Caenorhabditis elegans: one gene and its partners. The protein of the gene in region 1 purifies or fractionates together with the protein of each later gene. This does not show direct contact. Each region holds a gene or a part of one and is shown on either strand. Other genes may lie near its edges.

Region 1 (4,709 bases):
TTTCTTACTGATGACATCCCTGAAATGTTTAGTTACATAGCATATTTAATAATGATCGCACTAACTAACCTCAATGCTGGTGACAATTGATCAACCATTACAGAAACGGCATCGAATGGTTGCATAAGCATGTCCAGACTAAGCCATCCACTCAAGGCACACTTGCTGTTGAGTCGCTTGGTGACACATGGGAGAGTACATTGCAGAGAGTTACAAAGTTCTCCAAGATGATCAGCAACAATAAATACATTACCTCCAACTGTAGCAGCGAATTTAATGTTAGAATCTTGAGCGAAAGCAGTTAGGTTTGAACGAGCATAGCATTCTTTGTCGCAGCCTGAAAACGATTTTTTGATGGTGGGCAATTTTTCAGAAAAAAAATTACCTGACATGATATCATCAACGACAGGGTTGAGACACGACTCCATTCGCTCAAACAGAACGTGCTTTGTGGCACACATATATTCAACACTGCTGCTGGCTTTTGCGAAGAGCTTGTTGTGATCACAGTACTGTTCTTTCTTCAGACAAGTGATAGCCTGTGCATGATGACCACAGACTTTGCGAGCTTGATGTACAACATTCTTCATGTTCCACAGAGACGTCGTAGAATTGATGAACGGGTCGATGCACTTTCGCATGCAATATGGAACTCCAAGAGCGCGGAAAATTGTGTCGACGTCGAGGGCTGAAGTGAAACTTTAATCTTAAGCACACAATAATCTAGTTTTTTACCTTGTTCTTCGTGTGGCACGACATCTTTGTCGTCGTGTACCGATTCGATGGCACCATTTACACACGAGAAGAACAGAAAGATGGCGGGAAGGAAGAAGGCGAGATGGAGATGGCGCATCTGGAATTATGTAGAAGTTTTTTTTCCGAAATGGGGGTTAGATATTAAGCAGTTTGAAAGTGGTCTAAAAGCTTTCGAAAACTTTTATAAGCTTTCAAGAAGGTCATATAAGGAAAAGAACAGCTAGGTAGAAATGAAGTGGGTAACTGATATAGCCGAAACTTTACATAATTTATAAAATGAAAATTTATCAAAACTGACAAATGAAAATAAAACAAAATCCGAATTCTTTATGCGACTTTTCTGATTTCAAAATTTAGCGCGTCAATAGAAAAGTTAGATCGGCGGGAAAAAACAATTTCCAAACTACGGTTTTGATGGAGGTCTCGAAGCGAATACCGTACCCGGCAAGATTTACGCAGGTGGTCCGAGCCATTCATTTTTTTCTTTTTCAAATGTGAATTGCTTTGTTGAGAACCTGCAGAAAATCTTCATGTTTGGACGAAGTATTGACTTTTAGAATGTTTTTGTTCAGTATTTTAACCCTCTTCCAATATTGCGCTGCCATAATTTCGATTCATGCGATTTTGGCCGATGTAAAACCTTCATCAAAATTTCAACAATTATTATTGTAATCTTTAAAACTTCTCAATTCCTTTTTTTAATATTTATTTGTTTTCTCATATTTTAATTCAAGTTGTGCTCGATTTTCTTTGACTAACAGAAATTCCCGCTTTTCGGCACACATTTCCCGCAAACATCACATTCTACGCCATTTTTTTTGGCGCGTATCCGGCCTGTAGAGAATTCAAAATTGAATCGTCTCCCCTTCATTTGTTTCTTCATGTTTCAAGCTTTTTTCCCCAATTTTTATGTATCTGTTTCAGATAGTGAAAGATGGCGGCAATTCACATCAATCACGATGTCTTCAATAAGTATCATACTAACGGGAAACTTCGACTTACAACAGGCTATGTTCAGGTAAAGAAATCAATGTAGAAAACCAGGAAATTTAATTTTGATGAATTTTCAGGAGGCTATCGAAAACAATGGATATCCTGGACATGATGGAATCGTTCAAGTTTTGGTACTTTTGACTAATTCAAAAGTTTCGCAATAATTCGATAATTTTCAGAAAGGCAAAGTAGAGCAAGGAGAGCAACTTGGTCACGCATTCACTTTCAGAATTCGTATCTCAGACGGTGTTTTCCAATACAGTAAGTGAGTTTGTTATACTCTGATATTTATTTATGCTTTGAAGATGCGCTCATGTCCGCTGATATCGATGACCAAATCAAACGTGAAGTTGAGCATCTTGTTGAGGGAACAATTATCGCTCTTACTAAATTTGAAATCTACGACCAAGGGTGAGATTATAACATTATTGAGTCCTTCAATGTATTTTTCAGAGAAGGTGCTAAGAATTGCTTCCTGATCAAAGGATACAAAATTCTTTCTCGCTATCATCAGGTTTTGACCTCTCCAGAAGTCAAGCCAAGATCTCATTCTGGCAAACCTGATGAGCACAAAGGCTATAGACCAAATATTATCATCGAAGATGTTTGGCCTGAAGCTGAAGGAATGGCTGCTGATTACCAGGAGAATATGGCAAATCCACCAGCAGCAAAAGCGCCGAAAAGAGAATTCGGAGAAGGTAAAATCTAAGAGTTGTAATGTGTGTAATTCGAGTTTTCAGAAGCCTCATACAATCGTGCCGCTGCTCCAGAGGCTACACGCGCTCGAGCTGTTCCACCACCAGCACGCCGTACCGCGTCGAACACAGAAAGAGGCGTGATGCCTATTGCAATGGTTACACCGTACGTATCGAATTTCAAAATTCACGGAATGGTATCACGCAAGGAGGAAATTCGTACTTTCCCAGCGAAAAACACGAAAGTGTTCAACTTTGAAATAACCGATTCAAACGGAGATACAATCAGATGTACCGCATTCAACGAGGTTGCTGAGTCCTTGTACACCACAATCACCGAGAATCTTGTTAGTATTATTTTAATCGGATTATGCATAATAATTAATTTAATATTTTCAGTCTTATTATTTGTCTGGTGGATCAGTCAAACAAGCAAATAAGAAGTTCAACAATACTGGACACGACTACGAGATCACACTTCGCAGCGATTCTATCGTTAGTAAATTTAAAGCGATTCATCATAGCTAAAATATTAAATTTTCAGATTGAAGCTGGAGGTGAATTGCTTGCTGCTCCAAAGCTCATACTCAAACGAGTGAAGCTAGGTGAAATCGCTGGATATGCTGGACAACTGATTGACGTTCTCGTCGTGGTTGAAAAGATGGATCCAGAGGCTACCGAATTCACTTCAAAGGCTGGAAAATCTCTGATCAAGCGAGAAATGGAGTTGATTGACGAGTCTGGAGCACTTGTTCGATTGACACTTTGGGGAGACGAAGCAACAAAAGCACTTGTTGATGACTATGTTCAAAAAGTAATCGCATTCAAAGGTGTTATTCCAAGAGAGTTTAATGGAGGATTCTCTTTGGGAACTGGGTCAGCAACTCGTATTATTTCGGTGCCAGAAATCGCTGGAGTGTCTGAACTCTATGATTGGTACGCAAACGTGAAACCAACCACTGAAGTTAAGATGATGAGCCAAGCTGCTGGAGGATCCAATGAAGCTCCACGTACTATTGCAGGACTCCAAGAAATGCAATTTGGAAAGGATTCCGACAAGGGAGATTACGCAACTGTCAAAGCAATGATTACCAGAGTAAATCCTACGAATGCTCTTTATAGAGGATGCGCTTCAGAGGGTTGCCAAAAGAAACTTGTGGGAGAAAATGGTGACTACAGATGCGAAAAGTGCAATAAGAACATGAACAAGTTCAAGTGGCTGTACATGATGCAGTTTGAACTTTCGGACGAAACCGGACAGGTCTATGTCACAGCTTTCGGAGATAGTGCTGCGAAGATTGTTGGAAAATCAGCTGCGGAGCTTGGAGAATTGCACGATGAAAGCCCAGATGAGTACAACGCTATTTTCGAACGCCTTCAGTTTGTTCCAAAGATGTGGAGACTTCGTTGCAAGATGGATTCGTACAATGTAGCTTTATTTCTTGAAGATCCGTTATGATTGTTTTCTTTATAGGAAGAAGTTCGTCAGAAGATGACTGTCTATGGTGTGGATGATGTCAATCAGGACAAGTACATCGAAAATCTGAAGCAAATGATCGAGCAGATGCAACAAATGAGTGACTACTAAATGTTCTGTTTTTTATTACATCGTGCCGATCTCGACTGTTTCATTTAAATCTAAAAAAACCTAAATATTATTAAAACCTTTTTTGAGCCTAAAGTTATCACATGTCTCACATCCACAATCGCTGATTTTGTACAATGTTTTTCATCTCATTTACTAGCGAATAAACTATACGATGTGAGCCTATCTTTGAGTGCCAGGTGACCTCGAGATGTGTTCTGAAGTGACAGCATTGGGTCGTTGCAGCGTCCTTGAGAGCGGGTGACTGCCCGACAACAAATGGCCTTGGGTTGCCACATTTATCCTACGTCTCTCTGCCCACGACCACATTTTCCATTGCTAACCCGCAGGTTCGTGGGCAGCCAGCGAGCTCTTTGAGCTCTCTTCGTCTATTTCTCTCTAACGCTGTCTTTTTTTTTGTCTTATTTTCCATGAAAGACATTGGCGGATTAGTGGAAAAGACTAGTGACTTTCATTTACAGAAACGTCTTTTATCACCTGTTTTGATTTTCCAAAAAAATAAATTCCGTAATGATTTTATTATGTTTCCAAACAGTTGCAATTTGAACACTCCTTTCAAATTGTTCGTCCAAACTAAGCCGTGCTGAAAGAAAATTTCCGTCTTATATTTTGAGTGTAGCTTTTCTGTTGCAGTTGTTAAGATTTGTCGATGCAATTTA
Region 2 (7,731 bases), on another chromosome or scaffold:
TTCGATTTTTGAAAAATTGAAAAAATCATAAAAAAATTAGATTAAAAAAAAGTTTTTTCACTGGTTATATTCGGCCTATTTTCCGTCATTTAAAGCAAAAAAAAAATTGACTCTACCCAACCAAATTTGAAAACTTAAGCCAAAATGCAGGCGAAGGCGGGTAGATTTCAGGCAGGCGTGAGGCCCTAAACCGCGTCTGCCTACCATTTATGGCCCTAGAACGGAGGAGAGCAAAAACTAGGTCACTGATTTATTGAAACACTCCTGAAGAATTCTGAAAAACTTTTATTTAAAAAAATTAGATTTTGTTTTTTTTTTCACAAAAATTTGAATTTTTTGTTATAAATGCCAAAATGAGGTTCAATACCGAAAATTCAAGTTTAAAAAATTTCAAATTCGCAAAAAAAAACCTCAACTAGACTAGACTTTTGGAAATTCCAGTCAAACATTCAAGAATTTCTCAGAATAAAAAAAATTGAAAATAGAATCTAATTATATATTCACAAACCATATACACCTCCTAATTATACACTACTTTCTGAGAAAAATAACTTTTTTTTTTGGTAGATCACATATAAAGAATTAAAAATATGAAACATTTGATTCCGAAGAAAATATCAAAACCCAAACACTATTCTTTTATACTACTTATACACCGTTTAGTAGTGTATGTCGTCACCTAAGCATAGGCAATTAGTTGAAAGGTTTTCGGCAAATACCAAGTTTTCAAAATTTTTTCAAGCAAAAGAGGAAAACAGCGATGAGTCAATACAGGGATTTTATGAAAATACACACATCCCGACGACAAATCATATAATAGAAAAAGTAATAATAATCATAAATAACGCCAATTATGTGTACAAGTTGTATGCCTACTGACGTGGAAGGTAATTCTTGAGCGTTGTACTTTCCAGTTGCGTGCGCAGCGGACAAAAAAGAAACTTCCCATGCCGGGAATCGAACCCGGGCCGCGTGGGTGAAAACCACGAATCCTAACCACTAGACCACATGGGATCCGGCGTCGGGAGGTCGGAAGGGAGAAGATAAGGCTTGTGTGAGCAGGAGAGTGAGGGGAATGGGAAAAATATAGTTTTCAGGTGTTTTTCATTGATATTATTATTCAAAGAATCGATTTGAGAATTATAGATTTTGGAATTCAAAAGAACAAACTAACAAAAAAGAACATCTAAAAATATGAAAAATAGAGGTAAGTACTAAATTATCATCAAAAGTGACTGTATAAGATTCAAAACATGAAGTTCTCCTCTGCGCCTCTAGATTCTCTCCACTGACTCGATTAACTTTTTAAGTGGTTGTTGTTTCTTTCAAGCCACCCGCCAATAACCAATTAACACTTTTTGGACAGGAATTTCAAGATGAAATTGAATGAAAACGATGGGGATTGAATTTATAGATTATAGCTTTTGTTATTCCGTTTTAAGTAAATAAATCTGATCTGCGATGTTGAGAATAACGGAGCAATCTTGAAGTTTGAAAATGTTAAAAAATCAACCAAAAACAAAATTCAAATCTCGCGCGTATTTGAGACTGTGCATTTTCGCGCGACGGTGTTTGCACACCGTGCATCTTATCTTACGACATCTACGTATTATTTTTATTTTTCACAGTTTCCAGCGATTTTTAGCAATTTTTCAAAGATTTTTTTATGATTCTAAGTTATAATATTGAATTTCAGATTAAAAAATGAGCAAGACATACTCCTACACCCGTGTTACCACCCGTTCCAACGGCCTTCCGTCGAAAAGTCCGATCGAGGAACTGCCCGTCTATTCTCCGATCTATTCGTCGACGGTTCGTGGATTTTCGGGTTAAATTGATCGGAAAAACAATAGAAATCAACTCTAAAATTGTGGGAAACCCCATTTTCACTGAAATTTCCCTAAAAACCTGAAAGTTTTCAGTTCCGCACGGCTGTCGGAAGCTCCAGCAACTCTATCAACACTGCTGGCCTGGATGGATTGAGAACTCCGATGAGATCCTCTGGAGATGACAGGTAGCTGCGAAAAAGTTGAAAAATAAAAAATTTCCGGAAAAATACACTTTTTGACCGATTTTCAGGCGTAAAATTGGTTTTAATTGCGTTTTTTTCACGTTTCCACAGCTTTTTCCACCCTTTTTTGTACTGTTTTCTGACTTATTTCGCATATTCTGGTTAAAAAATTGTCGGATTTCCGTATTTCTCACAGATTTCCAACTAAACTGTGGACTTTTGGCATTAAACCCCGATTTTTAGTCGTTTTTACTATGAAAAAGCGGATTTTTTGGTGAGTTTTCCTTGTAAACTGAGTTCTTTAGACTTTGTCTCTCAAAATGTGGACTTCTTGGATTTTTCAGTGAAAACGCGGCGAAAACACTCGAAATGCTGGAAAATCGGATTTTTAAATCGAAAAACGTGGATTTTCAGCTTAGAAATCACTGAAAGCCCGATTTTTCGAGGAATTTTCTTGCAAAATTGAAATTTCCCAGATTTTTCAGTGGAAAAACGATGAAAACATCCATTACTACCGATAAAAAGTGAATTTTTATTGTAAAAATAGCTATTTCCTATAAAATTTGGAGTTTTAACTATTTTTAAGGATTTCTGATCAGAATACCTTGTTTTTCTTCCAAAATTTCCCAATTTTTTCTGGAATTTTTTACTGGAACCCAACTCAACCAGCTGATGAGCCTTACGCCTACGCCTCCTCCACGGGAACCACCTGCTGTGAGAGCAGACGGGCGGTGCTCAATGGGACAAAATGGAGCACAAAAAGAAGCAAGTTTTTGAAAAGAAGAAACAACAACACAGCTTGGAGGACCAACAATTCTCTTTTCGACACCTTTTTCTTGGCATTTTTCTTGAAAATTGGCACAAACTACATTTTTCTTCGTGTTTTTACGCAAAATCCTAAAAATTCGTCTGAAAATTGGAAAATTTATCATTTTTCCCAATTTTCCCTTAAAAATTGGCCTGATGATCAGTTTTTACCTTAATAAAAGCAGTTTTTCCTGAAGAAAATTGACCAAAAATGCGATTTTCTGGCAATTTCTTCAAAAATTCCGATGATTAATGGCTCGCCGAAAAATTGTCTGAAGTTGGATTTTCTTCAACATTTCGAGGAATTTCACTTTTAAAACCTATTAAGAGTAGTTTTCCTGTAGAAAAATGACGAAAATTGGGATTCTCTGGAAATCTTTCAAGAAATTCCGATTTTTTCTTCAAAATTTCGGGAATTTCACTTTAAACACGTGTTAAAAGTAGATTTTCCGAAAAAAATTGACGAGAAATAAAATTTTCTGACATTTTCAAGTAATTTGTCTGATAAATTACGAGTTTCTCGTTTTTTTTCACCAGAAAATTGTCTGGAATTCGGATTTTCTTCAATATTTCGAGGAATTTCACGTTACGTTTGGTTTTTCCTGGAGAAAATTGACGAAAAATCGGGCTTTTCTGGAAAACTTTCCAGAAATTCCGATTTTCTCTTCAAAATTTCGGGAAATTCACTTTAAAAACGTGTGAAAAGTGGTTTTTCCTGGAAAAAAATGTCGAAAAATCTGACATTTTTCCATTTCTAAGTCAGTTTTTCATTTGAGATGAAAGTCGATTTTCCGCACATTTCTCCCCCATTTTCCCCCCTGTAAACCAATTTTTCCGAATAAAAATTTGCATTTTAATCGTATTATTTCATCACATCATCACATTTTTCCACCCCGCCAACACACTTTTCCCCGTTTTTTCCTCTTGAAAATCAAGAATTTCACAAATTTCTGACCATTTTGAAATGTTCTAGAAAAATAAGAGTGATAAGAAATTTGGGGAGGTATTATGTTACGTACGTCGGCGGTAAATGTTGCCTGTTTCCCTTTGATCTGATGTTCTTAACACCCTTTTTGTGGTTTATTTAAGGAATTTTTGTGCTCTGAGAGCAAAATTTGGGGGAAATAGGGAAAATTTTCGGTCAAAAATAAAAATTCCGGGAAATCGGAAAATTGCCGGAATTGAAAATTTCCGTCAAATCGACAAGCAGGCAAATTGCCGATATTCCGAATTTGCCGGCAAATTGTCGGAATTGAAAATTTCCGGCAGATCGGTAAATTGCCGGAATTTAAAATTTCCGGCAAATCGGTAAATTGTCAGAATTGAAAATTTCCGGCAAATCGGAAAATTGCCGGAATTGAAAATTTCCGTCAAATCGACAAGCAGGCAAATTGCCGATATTCCGAATTTGCCGGCAAAATGGTCGCAATTGAAAATTTCCGGCAGATCGGTAAATTGCCGGAATTTAAAATTTCCGGCAAATCGGTAAATTGCCGGAATTGAAAATTTCCGGCAAATTAGAAAAGCGCTGATTTGCCGAATTCGCCGGAAAAACGGGGATTGCCGAAAATTTTCCGCAAATTGTGATTTTGCACATTTTTTTGTGCAATTTTCAGAATTTCAATTTTAATCGGCTTTTAGAATATACTTATAGGGATTTGGGGAATAAATTATAAAATTTAAATTAAAAGTGTTTTTGTGGAAATTTTTCAAAAATTACACCAAAAAATGAGCGCTGAAAAATTGCCAAAATTTGAGATTTTAGCTAAAAATTGACTACTTTTTCCAAAAATTTGAGCTGCTGCCATAACTTTTTTTTGAGGCATTCTCAGAACGTACATTACGAAATTTGGTAGTTTTGGACCATTTTTGGTAAAAAAAAAACAATTTTTTTTCAAATTTTGGTACTCCACCTTTAAAAGTTCAATTGTAGTTTTGCAGCAAAATCTATTTCCTGAAGTTAATTTCTAGCTATTTTCTCGAATTTTTCCACAAATTTTTTCCTCCTCAATCAATATACCTACCAAAAATCTCTTCTCGATGATAGCTTCATCCCATCTGATTCATCACACTTCCCCGTTCTCTCTCCCCCCAATCTCGTGTGGGAGTTTTAGTGTATACATATGTCGTAGCAAGGGGGAGATGAGATATCTCGTGTCGTTCTCCAACTGATCGGGGGTTGCTCCGAGAGCACATTGAAAAAAGTGGGAAAAATCTGGTGAAAAATTGGGGAAAATTTTAAAATTTACATAGATTTATGTGAACTTTATCCTAAAAAATCCGCGGAAAAATGCAGATGTTTTGACATTTTTAACGACTTTTTTTTTCATTTTTTTTTTCTTATCTCGCTTAAGAAATATGGGTGGAGCTCCGCGGAGCACCTGAGAGCACACAACTCGTCCTACTCAACTCATTTTGATACCCCCAGTAACTCTCCCAAAACTATGGCTTCTACCACCCAAAATACTCCAACAAAAGATCTTGCCGAGATTTCTGAACGATTTGAAAAATTAAGAGCACGGAGCAGCAATAATATGGCTACGTTCAACACTACAAGCTCCTACAATCGGACTTATGAGAAAAAGGTGAATTTTTTGAACAAAAAATGATGGAAAATAGAGAAATAGAAAAAAGTGGAAAAAAATAACCAAAAATTGAAGAAAAATTGACTTTTACAGAAGTACATTTTTTCTCGAAAAATCGAAGAAAAACCCAGAAAATTGAATTTTTATTTAAAAAAAGGGGAAATTCAGTTTTTGTTGAAAAAATCACTTGAAATTGAAAAAAAATTTAAGAAAAAATTATATAATTTTTTTGAAAAATGTTCAAAAACGTTTGGGAAAACGTTAAAAATTGTGAAAATTCGATTTTTTTTTCTTCAGAAAATTGGCTAATTTCGAATAAATTTTGGATTAACTAAAAAAAAATCGCAGAAAAACGTTTAAAATGTTCCGAAAAAAACGCCAAAAAATTGGTCACTTTGTCTTCGTTTTACTCCTTTTTTTGCTAGATGTGACAGACACCGATTTTCTTGAAATTTGAAAATTCCCAGAGGAATTCTGTGATTTTTGCAATTTTTTTTTTGAATGTATAAATTTATATTTTTAAATTTTTTGAAAAAAAAAAAATATTACAAGCTTTTCAGTGGAAAATTTGAAAATTTTTTGAAAAAAATATCAATTTTTATTGATTTATTGAGTAAAAATTTAGAAACTTTTGAAAAAAAAGGTTTTTATTTTATTTTTGGAAAACATTTTTCTTATAGTTAAATTAAATATTTTTCAAAGATTAAACAAACCTTTTTTCTTCAAAAGTTGCAATTTTTCTCAAGAAATCATTAACAATTGATTTTTTTGCATAATTTTCTTATTTAAAAAAAATTGAAGTGTGTTCTTTAAAAAATTTGAAAAAGTGAATTTTTTTAACGAAAATGTTTTTTTTTAATTTTTTCAAAAATTCCGAAAATTATGGAAATATTTTTTCTATAACTTTCAGATTTTCCCCTCAAAAATGTATAAATTTTTTTTGCAGGTCATCGAGGAAGGATCTCCAAATGTTCGTGTCACCACGCAAACTCATACTGCAATTCCAGGAATGCCGGTAAAAAATGTTTCCCGAAAATAAAAAAAAAGACATACAATTTGACTTTTTTTTTTCAAAATTTGAAATTTTTGAAAAATTAATTTAAAATTGTATTTATCGGCTTAAAATAATGATTTTATTTTATTAAAATCGGAAAAAATACGGGTTTCAAATTTTTGATGAAAATTCTGGGAAACAGTTAATTTAAAAAACTTTTAAAAAATATTGTTTTTTTCTTAATTTTCATTTTTTAAAGGATTATTTGACTTTGAAAAAACCGATAAACCGAAAAAAATTTTAATGAAATTTTGCTTCACAGGACCTCGGCAATATCCACTCTTCGATGCTCTCCAACTTTCCAAATCTTGCAATTTCGAGCCCATCGGTTGTTGGAAGTCAAAATGGAAATCTGACATCAATTCGTGTCACGAATACTAGTTTTCATGCGATTTTGGACGTTTCCAAGTATGATGCTGATTCGTTAAAGGTATTTTCAGGCTTTTAGACGGAAAATCTGGAAAATTCGAAGCAAACCACGAAAATGTTACAAATTGAATGAAAAATTATTATTTTCAAAAAAAAATCAAACAATCTGTAGAAAACCTTGAAAATTGACTTTTTCTCACGATTTCTGGATTATTTTAAATCTGAAAAAAAAGTTTTTTGGGAAAATTTTCGATTTTCAACAGTTTCTAGTAATTTTTTTGAATTTTATATTTTTATTTTGGTAATTTTTGAGTTTAGTTTTTTTTTTAATTTTCAAATTTTGCTTTTTAAAAAATCGGAAAATTTGCTTGAATCAGAAAAAAATTGTTTTTTTCAAAAACCACAAAATTTTCAAGAAATAATTCTGGAAATTGAACGATTCAATTGATGGAAATTTTTTTCTATAGGAGAAACTAAAATTTTCCATAAAAAGCATTGAAAAAATTACAGATGTTGTATTTTTCGACGAAAAACAAATAAAATTGAATTTTTATGCGAAAAAGAAACATTAAAATTTTTGGAAATATTTGGTGTTTTTTCCTGAAAAAATACATTTGAAAACAGCTTCAATATTTTTCTCAAAAATTTAGTCTTTTACAACTGTAAAATTTCAAAATTATACATGTATTTTAAGAAAATCGTAAATTCTGATTTTTTCTATAAAAAAAACTTCTGAAAATTTGGTGAAATTTCAGTTTTTTCGCCAAATTAAATTTTAAAAAATACGATTTTTTTTTGAAAATTTCAAAATAAAAGGTGTGGAATTTCGTATTTTTCAGGAAAAAAGAAAAAAAAATGTGCTAGAAATTTTTGAAATAAAAATTTCAATTTTAAAAATTGTTCTA
Region 3 (4,960 bases), on another chromosome or scaffold:
TTTCCACAAAATTGTGAGAAGGATACCTGTTACGATTCTTTCCCGATACGCTTTTTTGGATAGTAGCGGATTCATGGAATGACGTGACAAATTCACCTAGATTTGTTCAAAGTTTTAATTATTGCTTCAAAGTTTTAATTCTAAATAAACTTTTTGTTTGAAACTTAAGAATATTAATTGAATTGGTTTGAGGCATCAGAATGTCTTATGCTTTCTGCTCTCCCGTATTGAACTGCAAATCGAATTTTGCGGATGCGCACTACGTAAGTCAACGACACAACAGAAGAATGCACGAAGGAGAGAAGATGATTCAGGAGTACACAGACGTGGTAGAATGTAGATATACATTTGTCTTTTTAGTAAAGTTTTACTATGTGTTTGTTTCTAGGTATCTAGGTCAGCGTCTATCTCTTTCCTAAATAGAAGACTCAAAATCCAAAGTTCTGAATAAATCAGTTGAAAGTACAACACATTCGCACACATGAATGAGTTGTTTAAAATGACCGGCCGTGAACAAAAGAAAAAGTCGATGTGAGGTATTTACTTAGAAAATTAGGAAACATAGTACAAAAAGTAAATCATTGAATATGCAGAAATGTATCTCAGTATTAGTTGCTTGGCATTAGTCGGAATCGGAATCAATTGCAACGCGAGACCTCTTCTTTGCTGGCTGTTTCTTATTAGTTGAGGTTTCTTCATCAGACTCGTCAGAATCAGAAGGCAGCTTCTTCTTTCTGATCGGAGATGGAGATTCCACTTTAACGTCTTTTTCATTCTTCTTTGTCGATGATGAAAAGATGCTAGCAACTGGTCCTTTCTTTTTCTCTGCTTCTTTCTTTATTGGTGAACTTTTCACGGGCGATTTGTTAACTGGTGAAGATTTTACAGGCGGTTTCTGGAAATAATATATATAATTAGCGATAATGGTAATTTCAAAAACTAAAACCTTTTCGAATTTTTTCGGGGATACTGATTTAGGAGTCTCTTTCTTGATCTCCTCTTTCACTGGATTTTCTTTAGAACTTCCTTCAGATACATTGGTCATGTTCAACTCCTCCTCTTCATCTTCTTTTTCTTCAAATTCGTCATCCTCATCAACTGCATCCGCCTTTTCGATCTTCTGGTTGGCAAAAGCTTCTTGGTTTTTGTACATTTCAAGAACTTGCTCCGAAGATGTTGCATCGTCGGAATTTTTATCGTCCCGAATACGCAGGAAACGAGGAAATCTCAAAGAGATTCCTTTTCCATCATCCGTCAATCCACTTGCAGCTTTGTGACGCGGAGATATAGTAATATCGGCACATTTGACTTCGAAAACAAGATACGGAGAAAAAGTGTCATCTGGTTTAAGAGTGTGATCAAATTGATAATAAGAAGGAGATTTGTCAATTTTCTTGTCTTGTAGGATCTTGTATTGCTCGGCCAAATCTTCATCAGTGAAACCAGTTCCAATCTTGCATACACTTTCGTACTCTTCTGTAGTAGGATTGTAACATCCGAGAAGATATCCTCCATACACTCCAGTTCTCTTTCCAACTCCAGAATAAGCACCCATGACGACAAGATCCAACGTATCTCCTACTCCATCAACGTAATCTTTCTTCATTTTCAACCAGCTGTGGGAACGTCTTGAAATCTCATAAGTAGCTTCAGTGTCGAGAGTTTTGATCATGAGTCCTTCGCATTTATTTTGAACGGCTTCATCGAAGAAAGAGTTGATTTCATCAGTATCATTTGTATCTACGGAAGTTGCAAAATAGAAGCTTCCATCAATCTTTTTGAAGTTTGTTCGAAGAAGTTCTCTTCTTTTTCGGAGTGGTTTTCTCACGAGAGGCTCCCCATTGAAGTAGAGAAGATCGAAAAGAAAAACTACAACCTTGACTCCGTTATCATCAGTTGCATTTTTCCTTTTACGAGTCGACAAAACTTGGAACGGAAGAATTAAGCCAGCCTCATCGATAGCTACAACTTCAGCATCGACAATAAATGAAGTTACCCCATCCCCGATGCAGGATGAAATTTTTTCGATAATATCGGGGTACTTGGTAGTGTTGTTCTCTTGGTTTCGACTGTAGATGAAAATTTGCCCGTCTTCTCGTTTATGAATCTGGCCGCGTTCTCCGTCATATTTCCATTCACAGGTCATTGTCTGATTTCTGAATCGTCGCATAATTTCATCAATTCCCTTTGTAGGGTGAGCCAGCATAGGTTTCAGTGGAATTCCGGGTGAAAGTTTACATTTTTCGACAAGAGCTTCCACACCTTCAGTCAGTGCAACTTCGATCAGACGATTGTAGTTAGGGCATTCGCTGAAAATTAATTAGATGAATAATTTAATAAAGAAACAATTATTACCAATAGGCGGTCTTTACTCGCTTAACATTTGCATCTTTCAGAGAATCGAGTTTGTCACCACGAACCTTTTGATCAGTTATTTTCGAAAGAGTGAATGCATGTCCAAGTGCTGATAGAACACTTTGTTCACCGAGACCGATTCTCATTTTGCCGGCGAGCATTCGGACGAGGAATCGAGCCTCAATTCCTTGACATGCAATGAGGAGTGCACTAATGGCATCAACTTTCTTGTTCATAGCTGAAGTGCCACTGAGCTTTGCAATTTCGGTTAACTTGTTGAAAACAGTTGGAACAGTTAATGCTTTTGGAACAGCAAGCATTTTCTGATTGGATCTTGACTGTTGTGCGACAGTCCCAAGATCTCCTTTCGCGCGAAGATCTTCTTTAATTTTTCCCTCTGTACGTCCGGTCGCTTTAGCAACAGCCTTAAATTTTCTTTATAATTTAATATAGATTCAGTGGAATGCAAACCTTGATCAGCGAATTTTCAGCAACTCCAAGCTCGAGCCCTTCATACGATGGCCCGAGCTGATTAACTGACATGTACACGCACGCTGTTAAATCGTCGGGTGAAAAGTCCAGAACTTTGGTGAAAAATTGAGCCAATTCATCCACTTTCTTTTTTCCCGATAACTCTTCGATTTTCTCAAGGGTGAGAGCAAACTCCTTGTAAGGGACTCTGAAAATTTAGAAATAAAAAACAGTATGTTCCACAAAAAACTTACTTTGAACCCTTTGCCCATTCAACAGCGGCTTTGCCAGCTTTTGAGAAAAACATCTGAAACGATGAAGATGTGAAATTTACATTATTCGAGAAGAAAAGGTTTCGAAGATGAATAATTAATACGTGAAGGGATACAACGTAAAATACTTGGCAGTGTGCAAAATCAAGAGAATATCGAGCAAGTATTAAAAATAAAGTTGTATTAATCGAACCAGAAAACGATACATTTTGAACGGCGCGCGCACCAGATGCATTAGAGCACGATTGCGCGCACATGAGAGAGTGTGGAGACTAAGAGACATAGACAGTTAAAAACCGGCAAATCGTAAATGCTTCTTTCCTTGTGATTAAAGTCGACGTTATTAAAAATAGAAAAATGGGACATTGAAAATACCATCGTCTATTTGCTTTTTAAAAGATAGTGAGAGACCTATAATTAATAAAAAAAAGAATATTTAGACAACACATTTGAACCTACCAAAAGAAAAGTTCATTGCTACCGTACTCCAATGCCTGCACATCAAAAATACCGACTTTCAGCACGTCGCGGAAAATAACGGCATTCAGTTTCTTTCACGTGTTTTCAGCTCGACCATTCGGTGTAATTTGTGCAAACACCGTCACGCGCAAATGCAGACATTTTTGCACGCGCTGCGGTGAAATTCCTCTTGGCGAATTCAAATATTTTTTCCCGCCTTTTTTGAAAATTTTCGAGGCGTTAGTCGAGCTGAATACACGTGTCTTTCATCGATGTTCATTTTCTAACACTGTTTCAGAATGTCCCTGTCACAGAAAAAGGACCTTCTCGATGAACTACATAATGAGGCTGCAAAATGGTTGGCAGTCCTTCTCGATTTGTGTAAAAATGTAAAGGCGCCAGAGAACCAGCGAAACCTAGTCGCCTGGGCACAGAAGTGGATGGATGGGGCCGGAACACTCACTGACGAGCTTGAAGATTTTTCCATACGTGTTCACGTGGCAGAAACTGTGTCGGAGGTATAGACGAGAATGTGTTTAACAAACATTTGTTTCCTTTTTCAGATCAATCCTGCCGACAATGCTCCAGTTATGGAATGCCTTGTTGATGTCGTCAATGCAATAAATTCCATCACACAAAATATGTACAAAATTGTCAATAACGACCAGAACAAGCGATTGTTCATCGCGTAAGTTCAAAAAGTAAATAATTGGATTAAAAATATCATTTCAGAAAGTCAAATGCTCAAAGAAAGCATGCAAAGTTATTGAATGAGAAGGAAATTGTTATGAGACGACTGGAGCAATTGAAGAAAGAGCAGCTGAAGAAAACAATGGAATCCGAAAAAAAACTGAGAGATCTTCAAGCTGAAAATATCCGGCGAGATTTTCAAGAGCAGGCTCGTTCACAAGCTATGAGAGATCACGAAGGTATGAATTTCAGGTTGATTGATTTAATATTTATAAACTGTTTCAGTTTACCTTGCTTATGCGGAAGCCATTAATTCTGTAAACGTTACACCTCATTTCGAACATTTTGAGACCCCTGCGGAAGACATTTCTACACCCTTTGAATCGCCCAATCTTCCGAGAAAACGTCGCTCTCGCAGCCTTGGCCGGAAAGTTTTGGGATCTGTCAAGGTATAAAAATGGATTCCGATTTATTTTCATTCCTATTTAATTTTAGAAAACAATCCGCAGAAGCGTATCAGCTATTCACGACTACATCGATCATCATCACAAATAAGACGCCTAAATTTATTTCTTACAGATGATAACTCTATATTGTTCATTTCATAGCTTTTATATAAGTCGTTTTTCATGTACCATAAATATATTCACAATATCAATTCACATATTTATCAGTTTCCTGAACGAGAGCCCTGAACAATATGGCGATTATCA

The links.
Region 2: the proteins of rpa-1 (region 1) and Y55F3BR.6 fractionate together in Caenorhabditis elegans (co-fractionation; one large-scale study listed by BioGRID). This does not show direct contact.
Region 3: the proteins of rpa-1 (region 1) and lig-1 fractionate together in Caenorhabditis elegans (co-fractionation; one large-scale study listed by BioGRID). This does not show direct contact.

The regions. Positions count from the first base shown.
Region 1 is NC_003280.10:7,662,902-7,667,610, forward strand, and holds rpa-1 (putative replication factor A 73 kDa subunit), read left to right. Parts: upstream 1-1,680; 5' UTR 1,681-1,690; coding exon 1,691-1,774; intron 1,775-1,826; coding exon 1,827-1,880; intron 1,881-1,928; coding exon 1,929-2,010; intron 2,011-2,054; coding exon 2,055-2,160; intron 2,161-2,202; coding exon 2,203-2,447; intron 2,448-2,489; coding exon 2,490-2,791; intron 2,792-2,843; coding exon 2,844-2,939; intron 2,940-2,988; coding exon 2,989-3,873; intron 3,874-3,918; coding exon 3,919-4,032; 3' UTR 4,033-4,209; downstream 4,210-4,709. Other genes in the region: F18A1.7 (Chondroitin proteoglycan 4 domain-containing protein), read right to left, coding at 1-19, 70-337, 386-688, 736-853. UniProt on the Caenorhabditis elegans protein: As part of the heterotrimeric replication protein A complex (RPA/RP-A), binds and stabilizes single-stranded DNA intermediates, that form during DNA replication or upon DNA stress.
Region 2 is NC_003282.8:836,092-843,822, reverse strand, and holds the start of Y55F3BR.6 (SHSP domain-containing protein), read left to right. Parts: upstream 1-1,704; coding exon 1,705-1,812; intron 1,813-1,922; coding exon 1,923-2,014; intron 2,015-5,333; coding exon 5,334-5,403; intron 5,404-6,349; coding exon 6,350-6,418; intron 6,419-6,719; coding exon 6,720-6,887; intron 6,888-7,731.
Region 3 is NC_003283.11:10,812,286-10,817,245, reverse strand, and holds lig-1 (DNA ligase 1), read right to left. Parts: upstream 3,134-4,960; coding exon 3,081-3,133; intron 3,035-3,080; coding exon 2,827-3,034; intron 2,781-2,826; coding exon 2,356-2,780; intron 2,310-2,355; coding exon 947-2,309; intron 896-946; coding exon 623-895; 3' UTR 528-622; downstream 1-527. Other genes in the region: C29A12.1 (uncharacterized protein), read left to right, coding at 3,857-4,075, 4,121-4,245, 4,290-4,486, 4,533-4,696, 4,743-4,802; C29A12.22 (Transposase), read right to left, coding at 4,902-4,960. UniProt on the Caenorhabditis elegans protein: DNA ligase that seals nicks in double-stranded DNA during DNA replication, DNA recombination and DNA repair.